2 linked regions of the Arabidopsis thaliana genome follow. The protein of the gene in region 1 interacts with the protein of each later gene in a pairwise test. Each region holds a gene or a part of one and is shown in the gene's direction. Other genes may lie near its edges. The genes, in order: AT2G18490 and ZAT11.

The links.
Region 2: the proteins of AT2G18490 (region 1) and ZAT11 interact in a two-hybrid assay, tested with the Arabidopsis thaliana proteins (one large-scale study listed by BioGRID).

Annotation. Positions count from the first base shown.
Region 1 is NC_003071.7:8,009,744-8,027,176, forward strand, and holds AT2G18490 (C2H2-like zinc finger protein), read left to right. Parts: upstream 1-10,712; 5' UTR 10,713-10,774; coding exon 10,775-11,680; 3' UTR 11,681-11,833; downstream 11,834-17,433. Other genes in the region: AT2G18480 (Major facilitator superfamily protein), read right to left, coding at 1-1,250, 1,386-1,500; OFP7 (ovate family protein 7), read left to right, coding at 17,359-17,433.
Region 2 is NC_003071.7:15,697,486-15,714,749, forward strand, and holds ZAT11 (C2H2 and C2HC zinc fingers superfamily protein), read left to right. Parts: upstream 1-8,799; 5' UTR 8,800-8,968; coding exon 8,969-9,505; 3' UTR 9,506-9,739; downstream 9,740-17,264. Other genes in the region: TIM17-2 (translocase inner membrane subunit 17-2), read right to left, coding at 634-1,365; AT2G37420 (ATP binding microtubule motor family protein), read left to right, coding at 3,065-3,361, 3,430-4,160, 4,239-4,395, 4,479-4,548, 4,648-4,724, 4,794-4,847, 4,950-5,030, 5,117-5,228 and 11 more; AT2G37435 (Cystatin/monellin superfamily protein), read left to right, coding at 12,338-12,356, 12,444-12,604, 12,708-13,043. UniProt on the Arabidopsis thaliana protein: Probable transcription factor that may be involved in stress responses.

The DNA of each region.
Region 1 (17,433 bases):
TCCGGCGAATACGAAGAACACGCCCCCTGTCGTGATCGCCTTCGTCATCGACAGAAAACTCATTGAGACCGTCGCGTTCATGATCCTATTAACCGCAACACCTATACTCGCTCCCTGAGCCCTAAGTCTCAACGGGAATATCTCGGAGCTGTACACCCATGTGATAGGTCCAAGCCCTATGGAGAAAAAAGCTACAAATGCATACGTAGAGACGATGCTTAAACTCAATGCCCACGCTAACCGCCCAAATCGCTGAACCATCGTGAGACTAACCGCTAAACTGGTCAATGCGAAGACCATCCCACCCGTACTGGTCAACAGGAGCTTTCTACGACCTACCTTGTCGAGCAAGAAAGTGGCTATTATTATGAAAAAGGCCTTAGTTAAACCTACACCGACCGTGGCTAGTAAGAGCTTGTCTTTCGAAACAACTCCGGCTTTCTTGAAAATTCTCGGGCTGTACAACACGACGGCCTCAATCCCCGTCGCATGCTCGAAAAAGTGTATCCCAACGGCCGCTATCAAGATCAAACGCACCGCAGGTCGCGGTTTTATCACCAACTCCCTCCAAACACTTTTACCGTGATTCTTCTTCTTAACGCCGCCACCAACTTCTTTTATCTCTGTCACATCTACTTCCGCAGCGGTTAAGATGTCTCTGAACCGTTCTTCAGCTTCTTCTTCCGTATTGGATACCAAAACCATTATTTTCTTGGCTTCTTCTAACCTACCTTGCATCACAAGCCACCTCGGCGACTCGGGCATTCTTGTAATCCCAAAAGCCAATATCAAAGACGGGAACGCTGCGATTCCAAGCATCAATCTCCATCCAAGTTTCAACGTCAGTTTCCCAAAACAGTAATTCGAGACATAGCCTAGTAAAATCCCAAGACTAATACAAAGCTCAGGTAGAGAAGTGAGAAAGCCTCTATGTGACGCAGAGGATATCTCGGCAGAGTAAACCGGAGCTATCATGAGAGCAAACCCTACACCAACTCCGGCAATACATCGTCCGACCATCAAAACAGGATAGTTTGGGCCGTAACCCATAAGAACTGAGCCCACTAAGAATATCACGGCGGAGAGAGCTATGGTGTAACGTCGGCCGATGACGTCAGACGTTTTCCCCGCCGTTAGTGATCCGACGAGTGCACAAAGATTCAAGATTCCGGCCAAAACTTCAATCTGAGTGTCGTTTATTTTTAGATCATCTCTTATAAATATCTGAGCTCCGCTCATAACTCCCGTATCTAAGGACAACACACCATTACAAAAAAAAAAATATTCGTTAATATAAAATCATTAATATAATTCCATTGAATATATCTTTATATGATATATGTAGAAAACTTTTGTTTGATATGTAGAGAATGTTAGTATGTTACCATATCCAAAGATGATAGAAATGATGGAAGCAACAATGGCACACCCGAAAGCGAACTTGTTCATATGAGGGTTTGGATCCGAACCGGGAAAATTATGACCATCAGCATGAACCATGTTGAGTCTTTTTCTTCTCTTTTTTTTTTTTTGGGTTAAATTTTAGAATAACTTGTTATATCGATTGTGTGCATTTACTAGTATATATATACACATAACTATATATGTCCACCACTTGCATCCATAGTGGAACAATGACGATCAAAAACTTCTACTGTTGTTCCACAGTGTTTGTGGGTGCCCACGTATTCTGGTACGAGAATTATATTTCTGCAAGATATGAATTTTCCTCAAGATTTAGACGTATACAACCTGAGAAGTATATCGAGCAAAATAAATTGAAAAGATTTCCAACAAAAAAAAAAAGTAGTGTAATCAGGCAAGTGTTTTAAGTTTTAACCAATACATACGTAAGTTAAAATAATAATTAAAAGGTTACAATGAGTTTAAAAAATGGTTTCGCACACGGTCTTCAAATAATTTGTGACGACCTTCGTTGAACTTGAACTTGGTCTTCTTGTTTTCAATTTTTATTATTTTTTAATAAAGGAAGTGAAGATTTTTATTAGATGCTATGTTACATGTAAACCCGATTATTGTAGTTTTGCAATTGCATGTTACGTATAAAGTTGTTCTCGTGAGTGGAATGCATGAAAAATTGTATGTCGTAAACTATTTATGAAACTCTAAAGCAAAAAGTTTCCGTTGTGAAGTCATATGTATGAGAATTCAGAATTGATCATTCATTATAGTAACATATGCTAGAAGAAGTTATATCCACCATTTTTAAATGGTAGGTCATCAATTTTAATACGATATGACCAAAAATATTGCTAATATTGTAAGTTAAAAGTCGCCATCTTCTTCACTTTCGGCATTTTCCTGATCTATGTTCAATAGTGGCGTAACCTTTAAAGATTCTTTTCCACATTTATATAATTTGGTGAACTAAATTTATACGGTGCATTTATTTTCAGTTGGTTTCTTTTTCTTATTGAAGTGATGAAGTCCAAAATTAAACTTGTTTTGACGAAACAAAAAAACTTGTATCCAACAAAAAGCCGTTGTTCTCAACAGACGAATAATACTATCAGACTATATGTATCATTACATAATGAAATTGATATCTGTTGGGAAAAAACTGATGTGTGATTTGATCAATAAATCAGAACATCATAAGTCATAACGTAACCTATAGCTCTGTTTGTATGTGCAAGATAAACAAAAATGTTTTTGGGTTCCAACTAATGTTCATTTTAGCATGATCGATGGAAAATTCTGAAATTGCCAATTCTATCATTTATATTTTTGTCATATGCTTTGTCAGTTTGGCTGGCCTAGAGTTTTACGTCCAATTAGTCTGTTGAGAACTGTATTTTTGTTTTTCTTACTCGTACGTTGTTGGAATTCTGAAACAAGATGTTATTACGCCTCCAGTATTAAATCAATATTTTACCCCGCTAATTATAACATTATATATCTTGGTGGACTACGTCCAATTTATGTTTAGTCTTTTTTACATTCGCTACTAATAAATTGGTATCATAACTTCGAATTTTCAACATGCTTTTGTAATCTGGTAAGCATACATTTGTAAAATTGTAATGAACATAAGAAGCAATATTGGTGTATTAGAGAGACAATAACTTATTTCAAACTTCTAGTTTTTCTAAATAATTCTTAGTGTATACGTTTTATAGATCTCTAAATCTGTTAGAAGTAAAGGTTTACACATTTAATGGATATACGATATATATATTATTAAAAAAGAAGAAGTAAATCTGGATAATCATCTAGCTAGTATCTATATATATAGTTGGCAAAAACGCTAACCTTTGGGATTTGTATACGTAAATTATGCAAATGCACAAAATCCATGTAAATAGTAAAGTTTTGATATGATTCCTTGAAAGTTATATTTTGGTGAGCTGAAAAAGAAAGATACGTGACGAAAAAGTAGTATTTGATTTGTTTTCTTGAAGAGCATATACCATAATGAGTAACTTACTCAAACAAGTAAATGGCATGCGTTTTTTTCTTTTCACTTTTAATTGAAAAGGCATATATTGTCGCTATCAAAAATCAAAACCAAACGAAATTTATACTATGAGGTTAAATGAATTTGTTGGGTAAGAAAATGATATACCTTCAACGCACGGATTACCTATCTTTAATCCAAAAAGCTTTGGTTTAAAGGCAGATAATCGATAGACTAGCTACGTCAGATCAGAATTTAAGTCCTCGAACCAACATTCTTCATGCTGAGTTTTTTTTAGTACGAACCTTAACATGCATTGTAGTCCAAAGCTGATTGGCATACACATCGTGTGACAAAATAACCAAGACAGATCAATCATTTAGGTCAACGATAGAAGGAGAAATCTTCTGGAAGAAGAGAAAGAGAAATTCAAAGTGAAATTGTGTGTATTAGTTGGGATACATTTGGCCGACACAACCAGAAAGATAAGTTTGGGGACTTTCCGATACAAGTGATAACTTGGGTAGGTTAGATCATCATATGGGTAGGTCTTATTACTTTATTCAAAAGTTTCACCAAAAAAACACGTAGTTCTTTTTTTTTTCCATCTAAAACTTTATTAGTTCTTTATTTGAACAATGTCAACACATTAGGATTTTTTCAAAATTCATAAATAATAAATAATGAAAGTAGCCCTTATTTTGTCAAAATTATCGTAATTTCTAATTGAATTTTTTTAGAAATGGTTTTGATAAAAAAAAAACTTTTTTACTAAAATTGAAGAACCCAACGAATCACTGATATGCATGTGTTAGTACAAATGCACATGAAGTGATGATATTTTGAGTTTTTGTTTCCAACATCACGAGAACTGATGATCAAGTTCGTGATTAGATGGAAAACAATTTGTAAGTTTTTTTTTTTGTTTTTCCGAAAGATTTTCAGATTTTTATAGATGTTCTACTAGAAGGACATCCGTAAGACAAGAGGCACACTTCCAGTTAGATGTGTTCGCGTCTTTTTAAACATTGAAAAAAACTTTGATATACACTTTATTAGTTATCTATAACTTCAGATTAAGTAAGAAAATACAATGTCGTTCAAAAAAAAAAAAAGTAAGAAAATGCAAATTTTTGTTGATTTTGAGATCACTTGGCACTTGGCAGTCCGGTTAAAGATTTAGTTATTTGGTTACAAAAATATTGTAATGATTTAAGGGGACAAAGTATTGTAAGTGGGATGAAGTGATGGACGCAATTCAAAATGTAACGGAGGCCATTAAAATTGGCCAAACTAATTGTTGGTACGAATTTTTGTGTGGCATGGTGATAAAGTTCTTGAAAATGTTGGGACTCGTTTTTTTTCCTTATTTTGTTTGTGTAAGAGCCAAGAACACATCTATGATTTTTGTGTGGCATGGTGATAAAGTTCTTGAAAATATTTGGACTTGTTTTGGGGATCAATTATGGGATTGGCACAAAAAACTCTATGCCTTTGTGAATTTAGGAACATCTATGCTTAAGCTGAATTATTTGACTGTTTAGGATATGATATTTGATTCGCTGCTTTTCTCGCCTTTTAACGCTGTCTGCTTTGCCTCTGCAATTGACGCAGCGAACAAGAGAAACGAGTTCAGAAAGTGACGTTGATGCTGATGCTGCTGAAAGTGACGTTGTTGATGCTGCTGAAAGTGAACAAGAGAAATGGTGGGAATGTGAGATATGCGAAGGAGCTGTTCTTCTTCAATTAAACCCAGTTATCATATTTTTTTTTCGATCTAGGTCTGCAATTTTTGGCATCGAATTTGATAACTATGTTGTTGGTGTTCAACGGAAATTAGTGATCTTCGTCTCGATCTGCAAATTTCAGTTTATTATATATCCTACACTAACCAATATTAAACATGTAATTTGATTTTGATTTTGTTTTAGAATTTGAGTTGGTGATTAAACTTGTTCAATCCGCATTTAAGATTGTACCCTTGGGTTTCCTATATACTATCCGCTTAGGGTTTATATTTCTTTCATTAAACTCTTTTAATTAGATCTATTGGGTTCACGGTGATGATGACAAAATTTTTTTGTAAATTCCAGCAAAAGAAACGATGTTGATGCTGCTGAAAGTGACGTTGATTGAGTTGATGGAGATGTTGTTAACGGAGAAGCAAGCACAACAGTGAAAGGTGAGAGTTGTGTCGTTGGAAAAGTCTCAACGATGAAGACGATGAATGCCAATAACATTGATTGAAAAAGAGGACAATATCGTTATTTCCTAATTTAACAAGTGCTTATTTTCATAAGCTTAACTCAAAAATGTCTTTTTCCTAGTTTATGGGCCAAAATATGTCCATTTTCGCAAAAGCCCCCTCGTTTTTGTTCCTTATTGTGTGTAAGAAGTAAGAACATATCTATGAATAACATCTTTATATGTGTGCACATTATGTGGCAGTAATATGTTGGTAAGATAATATTCTCATTGAAAGTACCTAATTCAGAGATTTCAAAAATTAATTTCTTCGTAGTTGATGTATAGTAGTTTTGGTTCAATCCGTATAAGAGCGTTTTCAAGGTAAAGTGGAAGACAAATTGGTTGCACAAAAGATATCCATAACAACAACCAGTGGAATAAGACTTGACATGATACTGCTGATATTATTAATCACAAGGTAAGATTTATGAGTGTACAAATAAGGCATATTAGGAAGTGTAAATAAAAAATTGATACTAATCACAAGGTAAGATTTATGAGTGTACAAATAAGGCATATTAGGAAGTGTAAATCAAAAATTGATACTAACGGTATTTGTGTTTGATACCCAAAAAAATATCTGTAATTGTATTGGCAAAAAGTATTTTAAATAAAGATTGAAGACAAACATGTACAATTAGATTTGGGCATTCAGATTTTCAGATCGGTTTAGATCGGATAATTCAGATTTCAGAGGGTTTTTTCTGGTTGAGAGGTACAAGATCTATTTAAGAACCGGATGAATTTTGGATTAGATCGATTCAGTTCTTCTTCCGATTAGGTCGGTTCTCAAAATTTATTTTGAAATCAGACATGGAACTTAAATATTTTCTGATTCCGATTTGGAACCCAAACTACTCAAAAAAAACTGAAACAATCATGTGTATAGATTGTTTCCAGTTTTATGGGTCGTTTGGGTTTTGGGGTTTTCAAGTATTTATTCAAGTTTTGGATTTTTTGGGTATTCATTGAGATTTCGGATTCTACCCCAACCAAACCAAAACTCAAAAATATATATTTTAGGATCTATTCGGATAATATTCACTATCCAAAAACGAACGGAACCGGATTTATTTTAACTCAGTTTCAATCGGACTTTAGATTGTATGCCCATGCAGGCTGAATATCATTAAAAAAAGGAAATTTGGAAAACTGACTTACAAAAAAATTATAATTAAGTAACACTACAAAAAAAAAAATGATATTCTTTATATTTTATATATTAATCCCAACTTTATCCTCTTTCCTTCTCTCTCTCTTTCTCTCTCCCTTCTCCGCCTCTCTCCCTACTTTTTTTCTCTCTCTCCTTCTCTCCCTCTCTCCTTCTCTCTCTCTCCTTCTCTCTCTCCTCTCAGCCTTTCTCCCTACCTCTTTTTTTCATTCTCTCCAAATGACCTCTTTGCTTATTTTTGTTTCTAGTTACAGTTAGTTAATTACCTTTTTGTGAGATTTATTTAGGTTATAAGCTTTGTTTTTTCTTTTTTGTCTTTTTTGAAACATAATTTTGACATCAAAATGCATATATGGTTTTAAACTAATTTATCACTTAATCTTTTTGTTCTTCATAGTTACAGACTCACAACATATCTACAATAAATTAGGGATCATTCTTAAATGTTGATAAATTAGGGATCATTCTTAGATCTAGAAGCGATAAATGGTTTACGATGGTAGAAATTCTAAAGGAAAATAGCCAATAAATCGATTTTGTTTTTGGAAGATTTTTGACAGATACTATTCTATTTTGTGAATATACTATTTACGTATACCTTGTACTATATACATTTTAAAATGAATTGTTTGTTTTGATTAAGGATGTTAAGTGATTTGATTAGTGTTTTATATTAAAAGTCTTGGGTTCCCTATATATTATCTTAGGGTTTAGTATTCTTCCATCAAAAAGTATTTAATTGATTATTTGGATTCATCAGAAGAAACATTTCTATTTGAACAAATATATACTATTCTATTTTTTTATGATGATATGTATAGAACTTGGTACCACTATTCACTTTTTAAAAAATTTGTTTCCGATTTTTAAAATTCAAATCATGTTAGATAAACAAAAAAAAATCCCTTTTTTTAATAGTATTATTAGTTTTAACCAAATAATAATTTTAAACTTACATAGCAAACAAAATTGAATGAGATGAATATATTTTGGTCACTTTTTTGGTTGCTCCACGCGCTACCATCTCTTCCTTGACAAGTTGAAGGAGTCTGTGGTCTTTTTAACACACACATGTGTTACTCACTATATTATACAGTTTATGGTGCTATATTCTTTATTTCATCTTCCAAATAGGTTATTCTTACAATTCACCCTTAAAAAAAATAAAAAGTATTTTTTTTTTGTTGCACTTACACAATCCTCTAACTACACAAACTTTTGATTTACTTAAGTTGTGACAACTGAACCCGGGGTCTAAAAGAACACGTGAAATATCCAGAACTTTATTCAATAAATTCTCATGAAAGGTCTTTAAAAACATTGCCATAGTTGCATCTTAAAAGCTTGAACGTAAGTAACAACATAAACAAAAATCCTTATTTGAAAATTGAAATCATAAACTTAGAACAAAGAAATGTCTTTGTTGAAATCCTAAAACCATGTTAGAATCCCGTCGTATATAGCGCCTTTCCACTCCGCTCCTAGTCCTCTCCTGCCACCATTTTCCGGGAACATGAGCAACAAGTTACTCAATGAGGACGATATTTCTTGCCCACATGATCCATAGAACGACAAGGTACAAGCAGGCACCACACAATTATAGAATAGCTAACAATATATATATGCTCTTGCAACCAACAAACAAGCAACAACAATTCGGTTCCCTTTTATCTGTGTGCACCCGTCTCCTCAGGCTCGTCAGTCGTTCACGGGCCGCAACATAGTAGTCCTATATATTTATGCATTTGGTCCGACAAGCAATCCTACAATATATCTTTCCCGGTCATATGGTACATGCTAACCTCTATCATCTCCACTTATCCCATCTCATTCTCTTTATCAAACCTTGCATATTGTAGGTCCTCCTATTTCTTCTTTAAAACTTTGCAATTCTCTAGGTTCTCCTTATCTCCTTTTAACAACCTAACAAGTTTCAGGTCTTGCCACACAATCATCACATAGTCTTATGCTTATAACATTATCACATAGTCAAAATTATTTCACATATCATAACTAGACCATATCTACACAGTACAAGAACAATAACAAAAGGTAACTATAGATCCACAAGTCACAATCCTCATCTTAGCGATAACGAGATGGTACATTTGGACGGAGATAGGTCATGCAATTATGACTTATTCAAGAGTTCCTCCCTTCAATTAAATTAAACGAATTTTAGTAATTAACATTGAATTTTACTGCAAATAACCTACTAGATTTGATTTAGCGCAAAGTAAAATACATAAAACTACTTATAGATTTAGGTGAATAAAGGATATAAGATATCAAGAAAAGTAGTAAAATATTGATGAATTCATTTCTTACATAATCACTCGTTCTTATAGAAAACTCATACTTTTCACACAAAAAGAGTATGTGGCTAAAACATTAAGTTCTCCGTTTTTCTTAAGCATTACGTAGATCTTCCTTTATTAGTATATAAGATATTTATTTAATTTATATCAGAGCTTACTATGTCTTAAATATAGTCTCACTTAATCTACAGAAGCTAAACTTTAGATTATGACTTATATTAGTCCACCGTGTTCGATCAGAGCAAGTGGAGATAAGCGGTATAATAAGGGTCTAAAAGCCTGGTTTGCGATGCCAGATTGAGGTTAAACTTTTGATTTAGTACATAAAAGTTCTATTTAACAAACATTGCATTCGATGTAAAATGGTATTTTTCTTTTGAATTTAATTTAACATTATATCCAAAAAAAAAAAACAAATAGTCCACCATGTCCTAAATTGTATCTCTAGCTCTCTCCTTATAACTTTGGACTCTCAGACAACGGCTCTCTAGTTAAACTTAAAGTTTATGCCCATCCTTTTTCCTATAGAATTATATTATAGGAGATATTCAAAAATTTATGTCTTTGTTAACTTTCTAAGATTGTTTGGTTACACAAACTATGAGACAATTTCATACCTTCAAACTTAATTATCCGCCTATCTTGTTCTTTCTCACACCATATCAACAAAAAAGACCTTGACAAATTCATTATTTATCATTTGCTACTGTAAATTAGATTCCAAAACGTAAAAAATATATCAGATAGAGTTTCCATGCAACATAACTTTATACAACCCACATGACAAGCAACTCACATGCTTTAGCTTAAGCATAAGAACTTGAAACCATTCAATTTCTTTAAAGTGACATAATAAAAAAAAACTTGATAAATTTAGAAAACAAAAATGATACATCACCTAATCTAATGAGATTTCGAATGAGTATATGTCATCATCAAAATTCAAATCTAATTGTTGGATGTCGTCGAAAAAAGAAGAAGCAAAATTTATGAGTTAAATGTCCCTCTAATATATTCCCTAGTAAATGGAAAACAATGTGTTATTAGATTGACTCATCCATCCTATTATTTTTTTCACTTACTTATTTAAATTATAAACTATGAATAATTTTTGAACAATAATAATCAACGAGTAAATTTATAGGAAATACCATTACATGACATATAATCAAACAAAATTAAGATAGATGATAAAACATCAACAAATGTCCCATAAGATGGATAACATTAAATGTTAATATATATAAGAAATTTGCATTGATTATTGTCTATATCTTCAACTACCTAATCTAGATATATGACAGAAGATCAACTTTTTTTATTCCATCCATATATTACCATATAAATAGAGGAGCTTTGTGGAAAAGAAATAAATAATTCAAGATTTTTAACTTATAAATATTAAATATGACATAATATTTGTTACCATAATGTAGATTTCTTTCTTTTTGTATTTTAAAATATATTTCCGTTTTTGAGATTTATATCATTACTTTTCTAATACGAATTTTGTATAAAAGGGTACATAAGCAAAGGGGATAAGATACACTCAATCTTAAAAAAAAAGTTTTCCATCCAAATAAGTTACATAAACCATCCTGATTTCTGTTTTCCTTCAAAATGAATCACAACTCCAAAATGATTCGATCAATGTTCACTACATCTGATTTTTCAAACCATAGGGATTTGTTTTCATCTTCTCCTTCTTTTTCTTGTTACCAAAATTCACATGTCTCTTCATCTTCTTTTGGATTTAACAATTCACAAGTGATGAGGAGAAACATTGATTATGTTTCCAGTACCGATTATTTGCCTATTAAAGATAATCCTCATCTTACTAGAGTTTCTTTCACTCAAACCATTACTAATAGGTATAGTTCTATTGTTCCTACCAATTCACTTGATGCTGTTCAATATGATATTGAACTTGTCAAACGTGCCATGGATTCTAAACCCAATATTTGGAATCCTGTTTTTTATCCTCCAAATTTTCTTGGTAAACAATGCGAGATTTTAAACCCTGAGCCTCTAAATGTCATTTTTCCTCACCAAAATTCTGGAGATCGTCAATATTTAAACATGTTTTCCTTGTCATCAAAGCATAACCATGATCAAAATGTTTTCCATGAAGGCCGATCTTCGACAAAAATCCCCAAACCAACCATGTCCATTGAAAAAACTACTGAATATATAGATTGTGAAGAAAACGAGAAAAGTGACGATGCTCAATATGATGGTCGAATACATAGTTTACCATATAAGAAATATGGTCCATATACATGTCCTAAGTGCAACAGTATATTTGATACTTCTCAAAAATTTGCTGCACATATGTCATCTCACTACAAGAGTGAAACGAATAAAGAAAGAGCTCAAAGATTTCGTGCAAGAAATAAAAGAAAATATCGTAAATTGAATCTTGAAGTTTATGGGGAGTCTCAAAAGATTAAACAAGAAGATGGGGTCCATAATGATGGAAGGAGTGACGACAAACCTATTCAACATCATAAGATTTTATTTCGTTAATATCTTTTTTTCAATATAATGCATATTGTTTTCTTTTTCTAGTATTTCATCATATTTGTTGCTATTCGTATTGTAACTTTTATTTTCTCTTTCAATTTTAAAGTTATTTTTCTATATTAAAAAGTTCTTAATTCTCTCTCTCTCTCTCTCTCTCTCTCTCTCTCTCTCTCTCTCTCTCTCTCTCTCTCTCTCTCTCTCTCTCTCTCTCTCTCTCTCTCTCTCTCTCTCTCTCTCTCTCTCCATTTTTCATAGAGCATTAGCCATATCCATCCTCGTTGTCGCTTTCATCGTCTTCAATTGAACCATAACCCTCGTCCTCGTCTTCATCGGTTCTTTCAAAAAGTATTGTTTCACCACCATTGTCAATATCCATGTCACCCCCTGACTCTACTCCCACAACATGTTCTCTTACTTTGGAAACCACATAACGGTCATAAATAGCTTATCGGTAACTATTTTATTTCAAATTAGCTATTATCGTAGCCACTAACTAACGGTCACTGAAAGAAAACAATACAATTAAAAACTTATATGTCACCATTATTTCAGTAGCTAGTTGTGGCTGATTAACAAATGAATGATTAACAGACTGTTTGGTGGCGAAGTATCGTCCACGTAACTATCGATGAACCACCAAAATGTCAAATAAATATTTGGTAGCCTGACGGTGGCTAAATGACAACAAATATGTGGCCTTTGTTAGCCACTACCAAGAACCCCTGGCCAGACAGTGGTGGATTCGCGAATTTCTTGTAGTCATAGATCTTAGATCTTACCTTAGTGCATATGATATATTTTTCTTATTAGAGTCCTCCACTATGTCTTAGATACAATCTCACTTACTCTATCAAAGCCAGACTTTAGATTATGACTTATTTTAGCTTAGATTCTTACACAATGACTCCTTTGTTAAACTTAAAGTTTATGCCCATCTTTATTCCTATATAATTATATTTTTGTCGTGGATCCTTCTTTAACTATTACCGCGACACAAACATCCATTTGCGAAGGTTCTATATATTGTTAAGACTTAGGACATATTGATAAAGTTTAGTTATGACTTTGTTAACTTTCTAAGATTTTTGGTTTAAACAAACCCTAAGACAAGTTCATTTATTCGATCTTATCCGCCTCTCTTGTTCTTTCTCACACTCTTAGATAACTTTCAACCTATACAACTTCTACATTTCAAACTTTTTGTACATATATTATCTAGGGGAAGAAAACAAAAAGCGTTGATAAACAAAAACTATATCAACAAGAAAAACCTTGAGAAATTCCTTCTATGTTGCATGAAAAAGGAAATTAATACGGTGGATAAAATATTAAAAATCAATTTACGAACGGGTACATTTTAGGAATATATATATATAATAACTAAACATTTATATTCAAATACGAAACATTAAAATCATACTCTTTTTGTTTTAAATTATTTATCGTTCAAGATTTCTACAAAAAATTAAAAAAAAACAATTAAAATTTCTACTTTATCCTTGTTTGATATATTCTCCAAAAAAAATTATTGGTCAAGTCATTAAAACTATGAAAAAAAAACTAGAATTTTTACCAACATCTGATTGAAAATATAAAACGACAACTATTATGAGACAAAATTCAAAAGCTAAAATGACAAAATTTATAGTAAATACTAAGATAGATGACAAAACTTCAACAAATGTCTTATGGATAGCATTAACTGTTAATATAAGAAATATAAGAAATTTACATTGATTATTGTCTATATCTTCAACTACCGAATCCAGGTATATTAGTATATGACCGAAAATCAACTTTTTTGTTCCATCCATATATTACCATATAAATAGAGGAGTTTTGGGGAAAATAATAAATGATTCAAGATTTTTCTTATAAATATTAAATATAATATAATAATAGTTAACATAATGTCGATTTCTTTCCTTTTGTATTTTAAAATACATTTCCGTTTTTGAGGTTTATATCTTTACTTTTCTAGTGCGAATTTTGTATAAAAGAGTACATAAGCAAATGACATAAGATACACTCAAATCTTAAAAAATGTCTTCCATCCCAAATAAGTTACATACTAACCGGGATACTTCTATAAACCATCGTGATTTTTTCCCATCAAAATGAATCACAACTCCAAAATGGTTCGATCGATGTTCACTACATTTGATTGTTCAAACCATAGGGATTTGTTTTCATCTTCTCCTTCTTTTTCATGTTATCAATATTCACATGTCTTCATCTTTTTTTGGATTTAACAATTCACATATGCCCTATCATATGATGAGGAGAAACATTGATTATGTTTTTGGTACCGATTATTTGCCTATTAATGATAATATTCGTGTTACTAGAGTTTCTTTCACTCAAACCATTACTAATAGATATATATAGTTTTATTGTTCAAATAGGCCATGGATTCTAAACCCAATATATGGAATCCTATTTTCATCCTCCAAAATTTCTTGGTAAACAATACTATATTTTGAACCCTGAGTCTCTAAATTTCATTTCTTCTCACCAAAATTCTGAAAATCGTCTACATTTAAACATGTTTTCCTTGTCACCAAAGCAAAACCATGATCAAAATATTTTTCATGAGAGTCGGTCTTTGAAAAAAATCCCAAAACCAACCATGTCCAATGAAAAAACTGCTGATTATATAAATTGTGAAAAAATGATAAAAGTATCGATGATCAATATGATGGTCTGACACATAGTCTACCATATGAGAAATACGATCTATATACATGTCTTAAATGCAACAATATATTTGATATTTCTCAAAATTTTGATGTACATATGTCATCTCACTACAAGTATTATATGGATAAAAAAGGAGATTTTGAGACTTCGGACAAAAAATAAATAATTAAAAATTGTACGAGATATAATGGTGGAAATAGTGTCGATGAACCTACTCAACATTTTGAGATAGTTAAAGAAGAGATTATTTAGGATTTTCTTTCCTTGAGATTTCTTTTTAACCTAATGAATATTGTATTTTCTTTCTAGTATTTCATCATATTTGGATATGCGTATTGTAATTTCTATTTGCTCTAAATTTTAAAGTTATATCAGTTATGTGGTCTCTCTCTCACCCTCGTTGTTTTTAAAAATATATATCATGTTTAGATTAAGTCTCCCGTCTACATATATGATATATCCAACTAGTGTATATAATCTTAAAATTTCAATGCAAATTACTGCACTATAGTGAATTAGTGACTAACTTAAAAAAAAATTAAAATAATAGTCACAAATATTTTATTGGAATTAAATATATTTTACATGATGAACACCATTATATCAACAAATTAAAATATATGACAAAAGGTTAACAAATGTCATTTGACTAAATGTAAATATCTTAACATATAAAATTATTTTTGAGTCAAATCGTTATTGTCAAGTTAGGATTAATTAAATATAGGAATTATTGTTGATTCTTTGTACAGTTCATGGGCCATTTAAGTTTTAAGAAAAGCCCAAGTTAATTATCAAAACCCAACATAAAAGGCCAGAGTTTTCTGTTATTGCTTTTTAATACTATCCAAGAAGGAAAAATAAATTATGTTTTATTTTATTTTATTAAAAAGTAAACATAATCTGGTTTTGTAATGGAATCGATTGAATTGACATTTTAACTCTAGACTCTTTAACTAGTAAAGGAGCATCTACATTATATATTTTTAATGATTAAACGACACAAGTAGAAATGTAATCATATTGTAATTTTCCAAAAAGGAAGAAAATAAATAAAGTTGAAAAATATAAATATATGGGAAAGAGATGGAGAAAGATGACTTTGGGGCATGAATCAGATTATATTGTCTCCTTGGATCCTTTGGTCGTTCCCTACTTCGCTTCTTCATTCTTCAAAAATGGATCTTTTTTGTCTTATCATACAACTTTTCACCTTCTTTTAAATATAATATATAATTTATTATTGCAAAATTGGCTTTTTTAAATCCCGAAAGTTTTGAAACCGTATCTTTCAATCTCATAAAAGAGCAGTGCTAATTAATACCCAACACAAAAAAAACTCAAATAATTTAGGTAAACTTTTGACGAAGTGTATAATTACGAGTCAATATTAACAAATGTTAGTTAATTCAGCTGACAAGTGTTTGTCGAAGTGATATGTTCTTCACGTAAAATGCCTTTTTAAAATTATTAGGTTTTTCGCGCGGTAACTTTAAAAATTTGTTTGATAGTAGTTAAGTTAAAATATTATAGTAAGACTAAGAGTATACATTTTCTCAATACATGTGATTGGGATGGTAGGAAAATAGTTACTACTTTCAAAAACCTGATAAGACAATGGATTATCGCATATTCTTTCTTTTAAGGTAAGTTGACTATTCTGGACTTTGCTAAATGTCTTACAAGATTTTGGACTACTCTTTTGCTTGTTGGTTGCTAGCTTCAAATGCAAGCTAACAAGAACTGTGAGTTCTTTTTGGACTAGTCTTATTATGCTTGTTGGTTGCTAGATCCAAATGCAAGCTAATTCGAGCTAAGTAGAACTTTTGTATCGGTCAAACTCGAGTTACATCAATCTTTGATGCCTAGGGGTTAGGGTTTGTATAATTTTCTTAGGATTAGCTTGTCAATTTAAGTCATAAGTATATACAGTATAAAAAAATAGGTATCAACATTGACATCATACATGTGATGACGTTACAAAAATTATTTTAATTACATGTAATTTATTACAAGACTAGGCTAAACATGATTCTGTGCGATACTACGATATGTAATCAAAATTGTGAATTTTTTTCCAAAATATCTTTTCGATTTTTGAAAATATGTATTAACAAAAAAAATTGATCTAAATATATAGAAAGCAAGAAAGTATTTAGGAATAAAGACAAAAAAAAAAGTTCTAAAAAAGAAATGTATTTTGTGGTAAAAAATATAAAACAATTTAGACAGAATGTTGTTGTTTTGTATTTTAATTTAGCCGTTTAATTTCTCAACCTTTCAATTTCATAGGTGTTTGACTTGTATATGCCCACACATGGTTATGTCTTTAGTTTTTTTTTGGTACAAACTATCTTATTCCTATTAACTAAGATCGATATTTAATAAACTCTCAAGTCAAAATGGTTATATCACAATTCGGTATCTTGTTTATGATCGATACAGTATCATCATTCTACTGAAGAAGTAATCGAGAAAACGTATATATATGAAATCCTACATATAAATACGTTTTCTCGACTACCACCACTTCAGAAGAACGATGATGTGCAACTTTTCCTTCACCATTGCTATTGCCAACATCTCTGCAAATCAAGCCTTAGACGTCCACTTAACTAATTTGGGTTGCTTTTGAAAACGCAAAGTATATACATATCACACACATTCTGACCCGTCTAATGACATTCACGGTTCATTTGATCATTTAACTAAGGTAAGGTTTTAGTATGGGCAAAAAAAAGTAGGGATTCGTATAAATAACTTATATTGCAGCTGTCAACAAAAAAAAGATAATTAGTAAATGTAATGTCGGTATAAAGCATACTAAAGCAGAGAAATATTATACAATTTTATATACTCCAATATAAAAGTGTTTGCATATATATAGAAGCAGAAGAGACACAAACAGTTCTCATTTGGTAAATGCTCCATACTTTCTTCACTTCTCCAACAAAACACAAAAAACAAGAAAAGAAAAAAAAATGACGAAACGTTTCAAATTAAAGATTTCAAGAATCCTCTCATTCAAATCTTGCCGTTTAAAAGATCCTTCTTCT
Region 2 (17,264 bases), 7.7 Mb from region 1:
GAATTTGGGCCTTTATAAGCCCAAGACTAGAAGAGGAAATGTAAATATCACAAATCAAAACGCTGATCTCTTTCCTTAATCCGAATATTGTTGGTGTGACCAAGCTTTTGTGATCCTACTTACTAAGAAGTAACAAGCACAACAATTATCATGAATCAGTACTGCTAAGGATATATGATTGTTGTTAGAACTGTTCATCTTCTGATCAGTCTGAAGATTTCACAAACCACTCTGATTGATCTTTTTCTGAAGTTTTGAAGTACTTGCTGTGACTACAATATAATTGCTGTGTTTGAGTTGTGTGGATGGGCTAAGATATTGGACCAAGGGATTCATTTCCAATGCTCAAACATTTTCCACTGGCGAATATTGTTAAAATCTATAACTACATTATTTAAGAACCAACAATATCTGTGGAATGGTTTCACAAAGAGAATATTCCTAGATTGAGTGCATAAGCTCATTGAAACATAACCATAAGTGAAAAGAGAGAGAACATAGCATGCTGATTCTTCCATGAACAAGAAGAATTCAGCTGAGAACTTAGGATAGACAAAAAGACGACGAAATGGAATTGATAGTTGAGGCAGTAGGTAAACCATTGGATGACAGAGAAATAGATGTCCACAAAGCTTACTTGAACTCAAATGATGGCACCGGAGGAGCATCAAAACTCTCCAACACCTCTGTTTTACTTTCACTGCCTGGTTGCACCTCCTCCTTTTTCTTATCAAAAAGCCCTCCAAACCATGATGATGATGATGATGATGAAGCTGTATTCTGGTTTTGACTCTCTGACCTTATCTGTGCTTGACTCTGCATCTGCCCCATCTGCATTCCTTGCATCCCAGGCATTCCTTGCATTCCGGGCATCCCAGGCATTCCCTGCATTCCCTGCATCCCAGGCATTCCTTGCATTCCAGGGTCCTCCATCATCATATTCTGAGGCTGAGCCAGTACCTTGTTCAACATGATCCCAGCTCCTTCAATCAAAGCAAGCAAAACCCCTCCAAAAATAGCTGATCTCGAAGCAGCACCAGCCCCTTGCCGCATAGACAGAAACCCTCCAGTTGCAGCACCAGCAATGATAGAGTTCCAAGGATCCTCCTTTTGCCTTAGGTACACCATGGTACAGTCAAATGTCGAGAATAAACCTCCCCAAACAGCAAAACTGCCTCCAGTACGAGGTGCGTTCATGCTCACCGATTGTGTTCCTCCAACAAAGCGACTACCTTTAGGAGAATTGTAAGTCCCTTTAATGAAATGAAAGGCAGATCCTCCAACAGCTCCCATACCAAAAGCACCACCGATATCATCGAGTATACGATCAGGGCAAGGCTCCCGAGATGTCTCTGGTGTTCCCATTATTAGATGCCTCAGGCAATGATTCTATCAAACCTGTAATCAAATGAATATTGATTCATTAACAAATAGTAAGAAATTTAGGGTTTTGTAAGTCACTGCGAAATCAACAAATAGATCTCTGACTAATTCCAATTAAATACTGAACATATACAATCGAACGAAGAAGATTAGGGTTTATCAAAGATCCGTACTTTACGATCGAAAGCAAACCATAGAAAAAGGTGGAAACTTTGTGTATAGAAATGAATCTAAGAGAATTGAGAAAGCACTGTTGTTGATGATAGATGAGAATCGAAGAAGCATACCTGAGACTAACGAGGAATTAATCGACGGACGAGTTTTAGAGACGAGTTTGAGAGAGAGAGAAAAAATGAAGGAGGTGCGACGGTGAGCGAGAGAAGGAAGGTAAAAGAAGAAACGGCGTCAGGGTTTATTAGGGTTGGCTAGAAAAAAATAAACAAAAAAGTTACAGCGACCAAACTATTTTGCGTTTAATTTTTTGTCAGCTTTATTTTTCCGACACTGTTGCGTTTTTTTTTTTTTTTTTTAATTTCCCTCTCTTTTTTGCCGGCATCGCTCATTTTTCTTTTCTTTTCGAATATGGTTGCTTTATTTTTTATTGTTTTAGGATAATTTCGTTCAGTAAAATTTAAAAAAGGAGCCAAAAGTTTTTTCAATTGCCCAAACTAGTTAAAAGAAAGACCTGAGAGAGAAAGTAATTAAACCTATTAATAAAAGCCCAAATAGTTAGTAGAAGATTTAAAGTAGAGAAGCCCAATTTGGAGTAGCCCAAGTTTGGAGTAGCCCAAGTTTGGAGTAGCCCATAGACTAAGAAAAGATTAAAGGATGTTGTTGTCTGTTTACCCGTCTTGAACTCACGCTTAAAAGCTCCTTTATAATGCAAGAATGTCATTAACTCTCTTACAACGGTACGTTAGTGTATAATGTATACAGATTGTTAATATATATTGGTCTTCACAAGTTACAACATTTGGATTAATCACACATAGAACAGTTGGAGACTGAATTAAATACTCTCATATTCAATTACAAATTCTTTTGTGTTTTCTTTTCTTTCTCTCTAATTTTGTCAAATCAATGATAATAATGAGCTAATGATCATTTTTTTAATTTATCCATCTCCAATAGTGCTGATTCCAAATTCTTTCCCCAAAAAAAAAGAAGTAGTAAATCCATCTCACATATATATGATTGTATTGGCAAAAGTGTTTATTTAAGAATAAAATCAGAAAGTAGTAGATTTACAATTCCTTTTTTTTTTTTCCCTTTTTTCCATGTTTACAAATCATAAAGTTGTTGGATTATTGGAACAATTTTTTGACTGAAATATTTAATATCATAATACCTGTAAATAAATAATCTAGCAATATATGAATACTGAGACAAAAAAGAAGAAGATATTTGCGACTTTTAAAAAAACTTTTGAAATTAAAGGTAGTGTTGAGCTCTCTAGTAATTCGAATTTGGATCTGCTTCCACTCCCAACGGTTACTTACCCTAATCTTTTTTTGTTCTTCAAATTCTCTCTCAAACTTGAAAAGAAGTCTCTCTTTCGATCTCCAGGATTCGGCTCTGTTTCCTGTAAGTGAATCTTATTTAGAATTCGAATCTCTGGGATTCTGATCCAACCTTTCTCAATTGATTAGGGAATTTGAATTTGATTTCACAGAAATCGAAGATGTCGTTTACGCCAGAGGTGGTATCAAGGAAAAGTGGAGTAGGAGTGATTCCATCACCTGCACCGTTTCTAACTCCTCGTCTCGAGAGAAGACGACCTGATTCTTTCTCTAACCGTCTCGATAGAGATAATAAAGAAGTCAATGTTCAAGTGATTCTACGATGCAAACCATTAAGTGAAGAAGAGCAGAAATCTAGTGTTCCTAGAGTCATCTCTTGTAATGAAATGAGAAGAGAAGTCAATGTTCTTCATACTATTGCTAATAAGCAAGTAGACCGTCTTTTCAATTTCGACAAGGTTGGTTGGTCTCTTTCTCTACTTGATGGTTTTGTATTCAAGGGTCTCTGATGGTGTTTATTCTATAGGTTTTTGGTCCTAAGTCACAACAACGGTCTATATATGATCAAGCTATTGCACCTATTGTTCATGAAGTCTTGGAAGGTTTTAGCTGTACTGTGTTTGCTTATGGACAAACAGGAACTGGGAAGACTTACACTATGGAAGGTGGAATGAGGAAAAAGGGAGGGGATTTACCTGCGGAGGCTGGGGTGATTCCCAGAGCTGTTAGACATATTTTCGATACTCTTGAGGCGCAAAATGCTGATTACAGTATGAAAGTAACATTCTTGGAGCTTTACAATGAGGAAGTTACGGATTTGTTAGCTCAAGATGATTCCTCAAGATCTTCTGAGGATAAGCAGAGGAAGCCCATTTCTTTGATGGAGGATGGGAAGGGTTCTGTGGTTTTAAGAGGTCTTGAAGAAGAAGTTGTGTACAGTGCTAATGATATATATGCTCTTCTTGAACGAGGTTCATCTAAAAGGCGTACAGCTGATACTTTGTTGAATAAGAGAAGTAGTCGATCTCATTCAGTGTTTACTATCACTGTCCATATAAAGGAAGAGTCTATGGGAGATGAAGAGTTAATCAAATGTGGGAAGCTTAACCTTGTGGATCTAGCAGGATCTGAGAATATCTTACGGTCAGGAGCTCGAGATGGCCGTGCACGAGAAGCAGGAGAGATTAACAAGAGTTTGCTTACACTAGGCCGTGTGATTAATGCCCTTGTGGAACATTCTTCTCATGTACCTTACAGGTACTTGCCTTGTCCTACAACTATATATGTCTACTGTGGTAATATTTGTGTTTTTTGAAAGCATACTTGTGGTTGCAGGGATAGTAAGCTGACAAGGCTTTTACGGGACTCTCTAGGAGGAAAGACAAAAACTTGTATCATTGCTACAATCTCTCCATCTGCTCATTCCCTAGAGGAAACTTTAAGTACTTTGGATTATGCCTATCGTGCCAAGAACATCAAGAACAAACCTGAGGTTTTGTTTATGCTACCATATCTCATCTTTATTTATCAATGTACCCTTAATTTCTATCCTTCTAACTAGACGTGTCTCTGCAGGCAAACCAGAAGTTATCCAAGGCTGTGTTGCTTAAAGATCTTTACTTGGAGCTTGAGAGAATGAAAGAAGGTATGAACACAACATTCTGTTCTATATTCTCCAGATTTTCTTATGTATATTATCAAATGAGCTATTGGATTAGTTAAAATTGTTAAACAATCAATGCAGATGTAAGAGCAGCAAGGGATAAGAATGGTGTTTACATTGCACATGAAAGATATACACAAGAAGAAGTTGAAAAGAAGGTAGATTCAAAAGAAGACACTTAAGTGTATATTCATTTTATGCTGGGCTTAATGATCACTTTGTTTCAGGCGAGAATTGAGAGGATAGAACAGTTGGAGAATGAACTAAATCTCAGTGAAAGTGTACGTCTGCCTCACATTATCTCTTAACATTAAAGTGTATCTGTACGTTAGAAACTAAATTAATTTTCTCCCATTGGAACTTAAGAGGCTTCTTTTATGCAGGAGGTTTCCAAGTTCTGTGACCTTTATGAGACTGAGAAAGAGAAGTTACTGGACGTTGAAAGTGACCTTAAGGACTGCAAGGTGATTAGAACTTCCGTGACTTAGTATCCAGATTATTCATCCTTTTAGTGAGAGTTTTCTTGAAATTTCAAACATTCATGATCCAGAGAAACCTGCACAATAGTAACAAGGACTTGCTAGATCTCAAAGAGAATTATATCCAAGTTGTTTCAAAGTTAAAGGAAAAGGAAGTCATCGTCTCCAGAATGAAAGCTTCAGGTAACAGTTCTTACTCAATACTTTTTCTTTACATGCTTCCGATTTCTTGGGTTTGTTGCTTACTCATATTTTTCTTGAACAGAGACTTCTTTGATCGACCGTGCAAAGGGGTTACGTTGTGATCTGCAGCATGCGTCAAACGATATAAATTCGTTGTTCACAAGATTGGGTACTTCTTCTTTCCTATTTCTAAGGGTGAAAATAAGATCTGTCATGTGCTGATTTTTCTTGTTTCTGCAGACCAAAAAGACAAGCTGGAATCCGATAACCAGAGCATGCTTCTGAAATTTGGATCACAACTTGATCAAAACCTTAAAGATTTGCACAGAACAGTTCTTGGATCAGTCTCTCAGCAACAGCAACAATTAAGAACTATGGAAGAACATACCCACTCATTTCTTGCTCACAAATATGATGTAGAAAAAAGACCATACTTATGTCAATTCACTTTTTGCTTTGAACCAGTTGATCACACTAGTGGTTGATTTACTCACGCAGGCAACACGCGATCTGGAATCAAGAATTGGGAAAACATCAGACACTTATACTTCAGGAATAGCAGCCTTGAAGGAGTTATCTGAAATGCTACAAAAGAAAGCCTCCTCTGATCTGGAGAAGAAGAACACTTCTATAGTATCACAAATAGAGGCTGTTGAGAAAGTATGAACAAAATCGAGCTATGAAATACTAATTCACCTCTTGCTGTGTTTCTATATCTTAGCATGTGTTTTGGTAATAATTCAAGTGCCTTTCTCTTCTTAGTTTCTCACTACATCAGCAACAGAGGCTTCTGCAGTCGCTCAGGACATCCACAATTTACTTAATGATCAGAAGAAGCTCTTAGCACTTGCTGCAAGACAACAAGAGCAGGTGCTGTAAAAATCACTTTCTGGATTCTTGTTAGTTTTACTATTTTTCTGAAAATTCAAGTTTGTTTTCAACTTATCCAGGGCTTGGTCAGAAGCATGAGATCTGCACAAGAAATTTCCAATTCAACTTCAACCATTTTCAGTAACATCTACAACCAAGCCCATGACGTGGTGGAAGCCATTAGAGCAAGCCAAGCAGAGAAATCAAGACAGCTTGATGCTTTTGAAATGAAGTTTAAGGTGAGCTGGGACAAACTCTTAAAGACTTCAATTATATATGTTCTGAGAGGTTCGCACAAACTCATCCGTTTTGATGAAAACAGGAAGAGGCTGAAAGAGAGGAGAAACAAGCCTTAAATGATATCAGTCTGATATTATCAAAGTTAACTTCAAAGAAAACTGCAATGGTGAGTCTTTAACCATTATAACCCCCTTAGGCTTGTTTTATTCATCAGTTGAATCAAACTTAAAGACTGATGCTCTATGTGTTTCTAGATTTCTGATGCATCAAGCAATATCCGGGAACATGACATACAGGAAGAGAAGAGATTGTATGAACAAATGTCTGGTATGCAGCAAGTCTCGATTGGTGCAAAGGAAGAATTGTGTGACTATCTAAAGAAAGAGAAAACTCACTTCACGGAAAACACAATAGCTTCAGCTGAGTCTATCACAGTCATGGATAGTTACCTTGAAGATTGGTATAAATTCCATCTCCCCACTGCTTTCTATTCAAACCTCTCACTTAATTTGCATTATGTCTTCTCATACAAAGATTGTATTTATTGCAGCTTGGGAAGGGCCAATGATTCTAAAACATTGTGGGAGACCACTGAAACAGGCATAAAGAACCTTAACACGAAGTATCAACAAGAACTTAATGTCACAATGGAGTAAGTTTTTAACTTCTGTATCCGTGCATCTCTCTGTTTCCACATCATTTCACTGAATAAACTATCTACGTATAGGGACATGGCAAAAGAAAATGAGAAGGTGCAAGATGAATTTACATCCACATTTTCCTCAATGGATGCTAACTTTGTCTCTAGGACAAATGAACTTCACGCAGCTGTTAATGGTAACCACACTAAACCTCTGTTCCATTCCCTACTCAAGAACTACTCAAAAACGTCCTAATCCTTGGTTTTACAGACTCATTGATGCAAGACCGTGAGAACAAAGAAACAACAGAGGCTATAGTAGAGACTTGCATGAACCAGGTCACATTATTGCAGGAGAATCATGGACAAGCTGTTTCAAACATTAGAAACAAAGCAGAACAGTCTCTCATAAAAGACTATCAGGTACTTAAGCAATCATAATGGAAAATCTATAGTGTGATCTATATGTGTATACATTAACAGCAAAGCTTTGGATAAAATGAACAGGTTGATCAGCACAAGAACGAAACACCAAAGAAACAATCCATAAATGTGCCAAGCCTGGATTCGATTGAGGAGATGAGGACTTTGTTTTCGCAGAATACTCTCAGCGAAGAACACACAAGTTTGGAGAAAATATCAACAAAACAAGGACTTGGCGAAGCTAACAACAGAACTCCATTCTTGGAAGTAAACAAATGAGTAAAAAAGAAAGCTTATGTTCATCAGCTGGATGAGTGTAGAAGATTAAGACTGTGTAAAGGTTGTTATGTAGTAGTACGCAAGCTTATGTTGTCATGGATAAATCTGGTTATATTTTGACATTAAACCGGTATGCAGATTGCTGAAATTTTAGATTTTATGGATGACGTTTCCGGTTAAATTGGCTTATTTTCTCATTTGAGTCAACCAAATATGAAAAAAAAGAAAAGTAAAGAGAGAACAAAAAGAACACAAGACTTTGCATTGCTTCCACAAGAAAACATAATAAAGTCAAGAATAAGCACATACCTCTAATAGTCTAATTTACCACTTTTTTTTTTACTTTGACTTGCTCTTCCATAAAATTCAATTGCTGTCGTCAAGAATCCGTCACTGGTGACGATTTCAGTATTGAGCTCTTATTACTATCTAGATGAACAATGTATCAAAAAGGCTTTTGTTTGGTCTCTAGTGCATGTGTTTGACCAAATTGAATTTTCTCTTCGAACAAGGTAATGATTGTATTCGAACTTGGATCTGAAGATTACTTTTGTATTTTAGCTTTGCGCAAGTTTGAAGATTTATTTTTTTATAAAAAAAAAGTCTTGAAGAATGTAGTTTTTTTTTTACTATACAATAAAATATGAAAAAACAGTTTACCAAAGGGGAAGAATTACTTATTTAGAGCTCTTTAAGGCTGTATTTTCCAATGATTAGTCTAAAGTACATTGAAATCCTTAATTTTATATTTTTTGATTAGGATACAGTTGGTTAGGTGTTGATATAAATTATTAAGTTATGCCTGTGGCAAGCAAGTCCATGAGAAACCAAGTTGCTTGATTTATTCTGTGTTGTGTACACATGTGTTGACTATGCTACTTTTGTTAGATTCACATTTTTAGCAGTAGAAGTTTCTAAGAAATGAGAACTATGTGATGTATTACGGGAAAGACGATATTACCCTTGTTATTCAACACCCGTGGTATGCATTGTGCCGGCGGTCGAAGGGTGATATTGAAAATGTCAACTTGTCTCAAGTCAGAGAATCAGTGCTCTGGTAGTTGTGTTAGATAGAATATTAGTTTAGACGACTTCTTTTGGTCAAACTACTAGAAAGTCCAACCTTTTAGGTAATTGCTCTTATATAAATATACATTACTTCTAAGTTCTCAACCTTCATTACAAATCCTCTCAATTCAGGTTTCTTTTCTAACAAGCAAAAACTCCAACCTTTACTTTATTTTTGTTTTGTTTTGTAACCCTCTCAGATCTTAATTCTCAAAGAAGTATGAAGAGAGAAAGATCTGATTTCGAAGAATCCCTCAAGAATATTGACATTGCTAAATGTCTGATGATACTAGCACAAACCTCCATGGTCAAACAGATCGGTTTGAACCAACATACCGAGAGCCATACAAGCAACCAATTCGAATGCAAAACATGTAACAAGAGATTTTCTTCGTTTCAAGCCCTTGGTGGCCACCGGGCAAGCCATAAGAAGCCAAAGCTCACCGTTGAGCAGAAAGATGTGAAACATCTTAGCAACGATTATAAAGGAAATCATTTTCACAAGTGTTCCATATGCAGTCAGAGTTTTGGGACCGGACAGGCTTTAGGTGGTCACATGAGACGGCATAGGTCAAGCATGACGGTCGAGCCATCGTTCATCTCTCCGATGATTCCATCCATGCCGGTTTTGAAACGATGCGGTAGTAGTAAGAGGATTTTGAGTTTGGATTTGAATCTGACTCCGTTAGAGAATGATCTTGAATATATCTTTGGGAAGACATTTGTCCCAAAAATAGATATGAAGTTCGTTCTTTAGTTTTTTTTTTCTTTATCTTTAAGAAGACATTTGTCCCAAAAATGATTCATTTGTATTGTAATTCCTATTCTTTTAATTCTTCAAACGTTAATGTCAACAAACTTCATGGTATATGTGTGGGGTCCCTACTCCCTATATAGTATATTCATATGTGCGTTCTTGGTTATCATGTACGCTAGAAAAAGATTTTAAACTAAATTATTTAGTTTCCATTCCTGGAACAAGTACAACATATTCATAAGCGGGCCAAATTTTGGGCCATATCCCCTATGGAATTGGAAACATATTCCTTTTGCCTTGGCATGTATGATATGCAACAAAGGATCCTGAATATATTACGTTTATCATTTTTTTGCCAATGGCTTGAATTTATATTAGATGATTTTTCTCTAGACAATTGCAAAATTCTATTGTCGTCATCACTATCGTCGGATATTTCTTATTTTTGCCATCATCATGTAATTTAGGATATGACATGCTTTGATTATTATCATTTTTTTCAGTGGCTTTAGTTTTGATGTTAGATATTATAAATTTATAACAAGCTTGATCCTCTCTAGTTACCTAAATTATATTGTCGTCAACTCGTCATCACTAGTGTAAAAATATCTAATTAATTTCTTCAGTTTAATTAATTTCCATTCAATTTTGACAAAAAGAAGAAAACAAATCGAAAAAAAAGAGAAGAATGACCGTTCGGAATTAAAACAATGCATGAGTTTTTAACTCTTATAGCTCTTCAGTATAACTTGTTCTTTAATGGCAGTAAAAATAAAGAATGTAACTTGTTTTTCTTACTCTAATGTCATTGTACAGTCTGTTATATATTTTGCTTCTATTTCTTTTAGTTACATCTAAAAAATAGGTGTAAGACACAGTTATAGGATTTATAGCTATAGGTCGCCAGGTAAAATGTACATAATTATGTGGGAAAACCTTAATTTCTGCTTCTGCATTTCTGCTTCCGTCTTTCGGCTTCTCAAGGTTTAATTTATGTTTTTTAACGCCTTTCAACACTTAAAGCACTACATCGCCGTGTTTGTAAGATACTTTCTCTCATTCCTTTTAGGTTTTTCTCCAGCGCGTGTTTATTAATTAGATTTAATATAAAATGAATTTTATCATCTCAGTTCTTTAAATCTTCATCATTATTTCGTCAAATACATTAAAATAGCCAGAAAAAATCAGTATATAGATGCTAGATCATGTGTTTGTGTGTGGATTTTATTTTCATTTTTTCGCCTCATTCATTATTTCGCTTGATTCATTATTTTGCCTAATTCATTACTTAGATAGTTTTTGTATACAATAAAAATGCAACTTTTGTGTTATACACTAGTTTTATGATTCTGAATGCTTACAACTTTTGTCTCATATGGTTTTCATCTCTTTTAACCTTTGGATTTTTAGATACAACATATTAGTGCAGATCTCGTACGTTTTGTGTTGTTCTTCACAGTGTAGAGATGATAGATAAGAGAAGAAATACAACAAAAGTGAAAGGAAAAGTTCGAGCAACTGATGACGTGGTAAACAGTTTTTCCTTCCATTTTTGTAGATTAGTGATATCTAAAATCTACGTATTATTATTAATGTAATTTTCTTTTTTTTTATACATGCATTTTCAGAACTACCAGATATATACAAAAAACTTGTTTTTTTCATTAGGAGTGTGTAATTACAGTTTGTTTATTTCAATGTGTGTTACAATTTTTGTTGTTCTTACTTACACGATTTACCTAAAGGTTTTCCTTTCCAATATTCTTGGAAAATAGTTCAAAATAATAAAATGGTTTTGCGGGAAGTCACTGATCAAGGAAATATGGGTAAGTCTTTTTACTATGTACCTTAACATTTACTTGATGAATGATTTTATAAAAACGTTAGGTATTAGTACAAGATCAAATTAAAAGGTGACGCCATTGTTTAGACATGTCTTAAATTAGAGAAACTTAACCTTAAAACTTGACAAAAAGTATATTTCCTTAATTTCAAATAATTCAACCTTAAAGCTTATACGTTTGTTGTTCGTCCCTGGAAAAATTTGTCATTAGATTTCTTATAACGATTTTCCTTAATCAATCACAATTACTTTTGTTTCGTTTACTTTTTAATGAGAAATAATAATGTGCATGATTTAATCTGAATGATAGGTTACTGTTGGACCATCTCTTACAACAGAATGATTGGGGGCCCATTTATACATTCATGGTAGAATTCCTTCTGGAATTCTCTTCAAAGCATCTATTTGCCCAAATTGAAGAAAAAAAATCAAATGGGAATTTAAAGAAATACAAAGGATTGATAAAATTTCTTAAGGATAAAGGGCTGGTTAGAGAAGAGGATTGCAAATGCTTTAAAGAACAAAATGACGTAACTTTACCTTTCTAATATTTTATCCTTACAGCCTTTTTAGTTTTTTCCCACTCATTATCCTTTCTCTTTCTTTTCAAGTTTCACTTTTAACCAATCTGAGACCCAAACTGAATCCCTTAACCATACATGTTGATTAGTGGGCCAAATTTAGGGGCCCAGCCTGAGTTAGTACTAATGATTTTATTACTTATGTATTACTAATGATTTCCGGGTCGAATAGCAATACGGGTAACAGGTCGGATATTTTAAAAATAAATCTGATACTCGATCCTTACGTACGGGTAATAGAATTACATTATTTTTTACCCGACTAAGTTTACTGGTACCCTTTTTTCAAGACTGGTACGAGTCGGGTAACATGTATCGTCCTAGTTGACAAAATTACATAATTAAATTTATAGGGTTCTTGTTTAATATTAGGGTTACTGTTTTGTTCATACACGCAAGGCGAATTCGATGGGGGATGATTTACCAGGTACTGAGGTACGAATTCAACTCTGTAAAATTTTGTTTATATATCGGAACAAATCCCTAATAAAGTTAGATATTTTTCCTGTCTCAGATTGGAGAAATAAGCTGGAACCTGTGTTTTTGGAATTTGAGGATGGTTGTGTTCCTGAGGAACATTATTATCCGTGTATAAGACGCCGTGAGGATGAAGAGCCCAAGATCTCGGCGGAAGAAGAGTATTACCTCATGGTGAAAGAAGTCGAGGATTCCAAGGTTTTCTTCATGTTGTTGATTCTTGGTAAAAACTATAAAGACAGATTTTAGTCTGTCAAGTTTTCTTTATCTGTTTGGAGAATTCATCTTGTGTGTTATATAGGGTTTTGACATCGATTTCGCCAAGTTCCGCTGCGTTTTCAATTACCGACCAGTTGATCTCGATGACAACGAGTTGGCTTTGGAACCAGAAACTACCAGAGAGTTTATGGACAGACTGTGTCGGAAATCCCTTGAGCATTTCAATGAAATTCATAGTACAAAATATGAATTTGTCAGGTTTATCAAAGCCAATCATCACGTCTCTGCTGGCATGATGTATTTCATTACCTTTGAAGGTAAGCTACTTTCCAATGATGATGACTCAAAACAGTTCCAAGCTAAGCTCTGCTATTGCGGTGGTACCCCCGAAATCATCTCATGCGAACTCAAACCCTAGAGAAAAGGTAAATTCGATGCTTGGTCTATCTTTGTTTTCTTTTCTGTTGACTTCAGTTTGTTACTGGTTATAAAATTCTGTTCGGATTTGTTTTTGGCAGTTCACTCCATCGAAGCACCGGAGAAAGAAGATCCCAAGAAACCAAGGTTTATATATATCTTGTCTTTGTTACTTTGATCAGTCTTTTCCTTTCTTTGTCTTCTTTCTTACGGAAGGAAGGTTCTTTTACACTGTCCTGAATGTTACTTTTTGTTTTATTGACATCTTTAGATTGACACTTGAGCCATCTAATGTCAGTCTAATACGGGTCTGAGTGGGTGATCACACGCAAGCACTCTCGTGACAATTGACCGTCTAGTTCTATGATGATAATGTAAACTTGATTACCAATATGAAACAGTGTCTTTACCAAAAATAGCTAATAGTTCATAGCTAAGCTAGGACCCAAAAAGATAGAAAAGTCTATATGAAACAGTTGGCAAACTCTGTAATGCTGATTTAATTTGTTACCCGTGGTTCTTGAAATAGTCTTCATGGTTGTTCTCTTCGAACTAGCTAGGAAAGTGTCTCTAATGCATCGGTCATTATGTTTAAAAACAACTGATGCAGGAGAAAACAAGGCGTTGTGGAGCCTAGTGGTTTCATTCTTTCCAAAGCATGTATACTGTTGCATCTGTGAGTCGCAATATGCTTTAAATTTGAGAGATAGTTAGAAAAGCTGATGATAGCCACAATCTAAGGAAAGATGAAACTTGGTACAATGTATTTACTTTTATGCTCATAACATTGTAACAGATCAAAGTATATCACAAGTAAATAGCAGCAGAACGGGTAAACTCGTTTCTTTAATACTAGTACCAAAGATTTAGCAAGTGCAAAAATCAAGGTCATACATGCATTCGCTTCTAATTACGACCAATATGGCAATAATACAAAACATTAGTACAATAATCAAGTAGCCTTCTAATAGTTGATTTTTTTTTTAACACTGTAATTATAAAGTCTGCGTCAACTGAGCTTAACTTTGCGTGTTGAAGAAAGTCAAAGGTCCTCTATTTTGGAGCACGCAATTAATTGCCAACTTTAGCGACCAATTAAAAAGTGTTTTAGTAACATATGATAGCCACTACTTCTCATCTACCACTATCATCACATGGTCCACATGTAGTATAGTTTACTAAATATTTTCATGCGAACAAGTACAAATATATAAAAGACAAACATGTAACATATGCATGCGCGGCGTCAAACATGATGAATCATTTTGTAGTATTGTAGAATGTAGTTCGATGTATCAAGTTTTGATTCTGAAAATTTGGTGACTTAAGTTTACTGAAGGACTATGTGTTTAATTAGTTTTTAAGGGACTCACTGGTTCAGCATATATGTATGTAGAATGCATGCGTTTATATGAGAACTCTCACTTTTTCATCAAATTTGGACGAGTTTTGAAAACGTTACGGGGACAGACATATAACTATATATAACACATAGCGAAACATGGATCCATGCATATGAGATAACACACTTGTTTCTCATCATCGTATATTCGTATGTATGCATAAAACATATTCTCCACTAGCTAATCTGTCAAATGCTTGTTATATATTGCTCAACTTTATTGGTTAGTGATGGCCCAGTTTGGTGTGTACCACTAAAATTGCATAATCTTAAACAATACCTAAATTCTAGCATTCAGGAATTTCTTTTTGGATGCATGAAATGCTCAATTCTATTAAGTATTAGTTGATGCATGAATCACGTATATCACATTAACGTCTATATATATCCCACTTATCTCAACAAATCATTGGTTATAATTATCCTATTAACTAATATTCGGAACATCCCACTTAGGTCGGTGGTGGTGCTTCCAAAATTTTAGGACTCTAGTAAAAATGGAAATCAATCCCAACGAACCCGATGGTCCAAATTCGATTCATTGTCTGCATTAGAGATCGTAAAGAATTTTTTATTGGTCTTAGTGGGTTGTTTAGTCATCAAAATAATAAAATTAATGTAATATTCTTCTATTAACTATATATATATATATATATATATATTAATATTAATATAATGCTTGAATAGGCTAGTTATAAGAGGTTTAAACCATACCCTGCTTTGGCATGAAGTGCAGTTCGTGTTATTCTCAAGCGATCTTTCACGTCATTGCTTAGCTAGTTACTATTAACCGAATGTCAATAAAGCTCATTGAAACTCCTAATTCAAAATAGTAATTACTAGCCATGTTATAACAGTAAAAGATTCCAGTGGCCAAATCAATAGGATCGACACATGTTTTTGGATAATCGTCCATGATGTAGTAAACTGATATAGTATGACGCAAAAAATATTCACTACTTATATAATTTTGAAAGATATCCAATATAAAATATCAACCTTTTATAATTTGTGAACGTTCGGTATGGTATATATATATATATATAAATGTAACAACGTTTTTTTTTCGTTTTTTTTATGTCAAACAAAATTTCTATTCACTTAAACATCAAAAGAGTCACGGATAGGATCCAATAATAACATTTTAAGAAGTTGAATACATTGAGCAAAACATGTAGTCTTGTGATTAGTGTTAGTGATATCACTGTACTACTAAATTCAAACTCACAAGTATATTATATATTATTAGCAAACCAATAACTAAAATATATTTCATTCAAAAACAATTAACCAAAATATATAATTCACAGTTAACACATATACTATTGTTTTAGTTAGAATATATATGAAATTACTCTAGCTTCCGCTGCCCAACCCAAATCTCAGCAGTTACTTGTGATTGCTTCCAACCATAACCACACTCATCGGAATCGAGGTCCTACCACAATCACACCATTTAATTAGTATGAAATTGTGACTACTTAAAAAATAGATAATAATAATCTTCAATTATATATATATCACTTGATATGTTTTATGAAAAAACAAATTTCCTTAAAATGATAATTTTATAGTTTATACTTTATATATAACCTCGTTAGTAGTTCATATTATGTTTAATTCATTTATTTATAGTAGCATATATCTTATGATTCTTTTCTTACTTTTTTTTTATGTGCAGCAGATCTTTTCTTACTTAATATTTTCTAATTCTCTATCATGGAATTTTTCTAAATAAAACAGTTACTTGATGAAAAAAAAAAGAGTTACTTCAAATTTTGACTAAAAACGAAATAAAGTTCCAGTATATTATATAAGTTAACTAATTTATATTTTATATATTTGTAACTAATTTTTTTTCTCAGTAACTTTTCCCATATTGTGCTTTTAAGGCTAAATGCTTTTCTAGTAGAAACTTCTAAGGAAAAAAGTGAACCTGTGTGTCTTAAGAAAATATCTTACAAATTGCTAAATGTTTTTTTTTTTTTTTAACAGAACGGCTAAATGGTTTTCAGATGGAAAGTTCTACGAATAACGTACGGGGATTAGAATTACATCAATCAATTAAAATGAGAGCGATATTTATCACGATTTGCGCATATTAAAGAGGCATAACTAAGAAAAGTGGGTCACTCACTTGCCTGCCAAAGCTGGCCATATGAGAGCACTTTCTCGGAGAGTAGTGGTACCAACTTCCCTCTCTACACAATCATTGGTTTCTCAAGTCTATCATCAAAAGTAAAATTGATTAATGGTCTTTTGTATTAATTATAGACTTTTCTTCAAAAATAATCTTTACAAAAAGTGTTATATGAAGCCGTAAAACACATCCGATTTCTAACTAAGTGTATAAGTAAAACATATATATACCCGTTACATCTGTCCAAAAAAAAAATATATATATACCCGTTACACATGTATATGGTGTTGGTTGAAACTAATGGACTAAATTTAGCATAAGATGACCAAAGGACATACATGAGTTTGGTTGTTATGCTATTTTAGCGCTTGTGTTTACGTTGTTACATAATAGTTAGATTCTGAATTAGATATTTCACATCTACCTAGTTCCAATTTATATCTGAATTTGCTTCTGCAATATATGATCATGCATGGCACTTTTACATCTCATTAACATTCATAATTGTTTTACATTCTTCCCTTTTCGAAATATAGATCGGACATGTGCATCTATTTGGGAACTTAACTTTTAGCAAGTGAGTTTAATGATTAGAACACTTGATTCTAGTCACTAATCACTAATCATATTGGTACAACTCTAATAATTGGATTATACTTTCGTTCTTTAGCCTTTTTCTG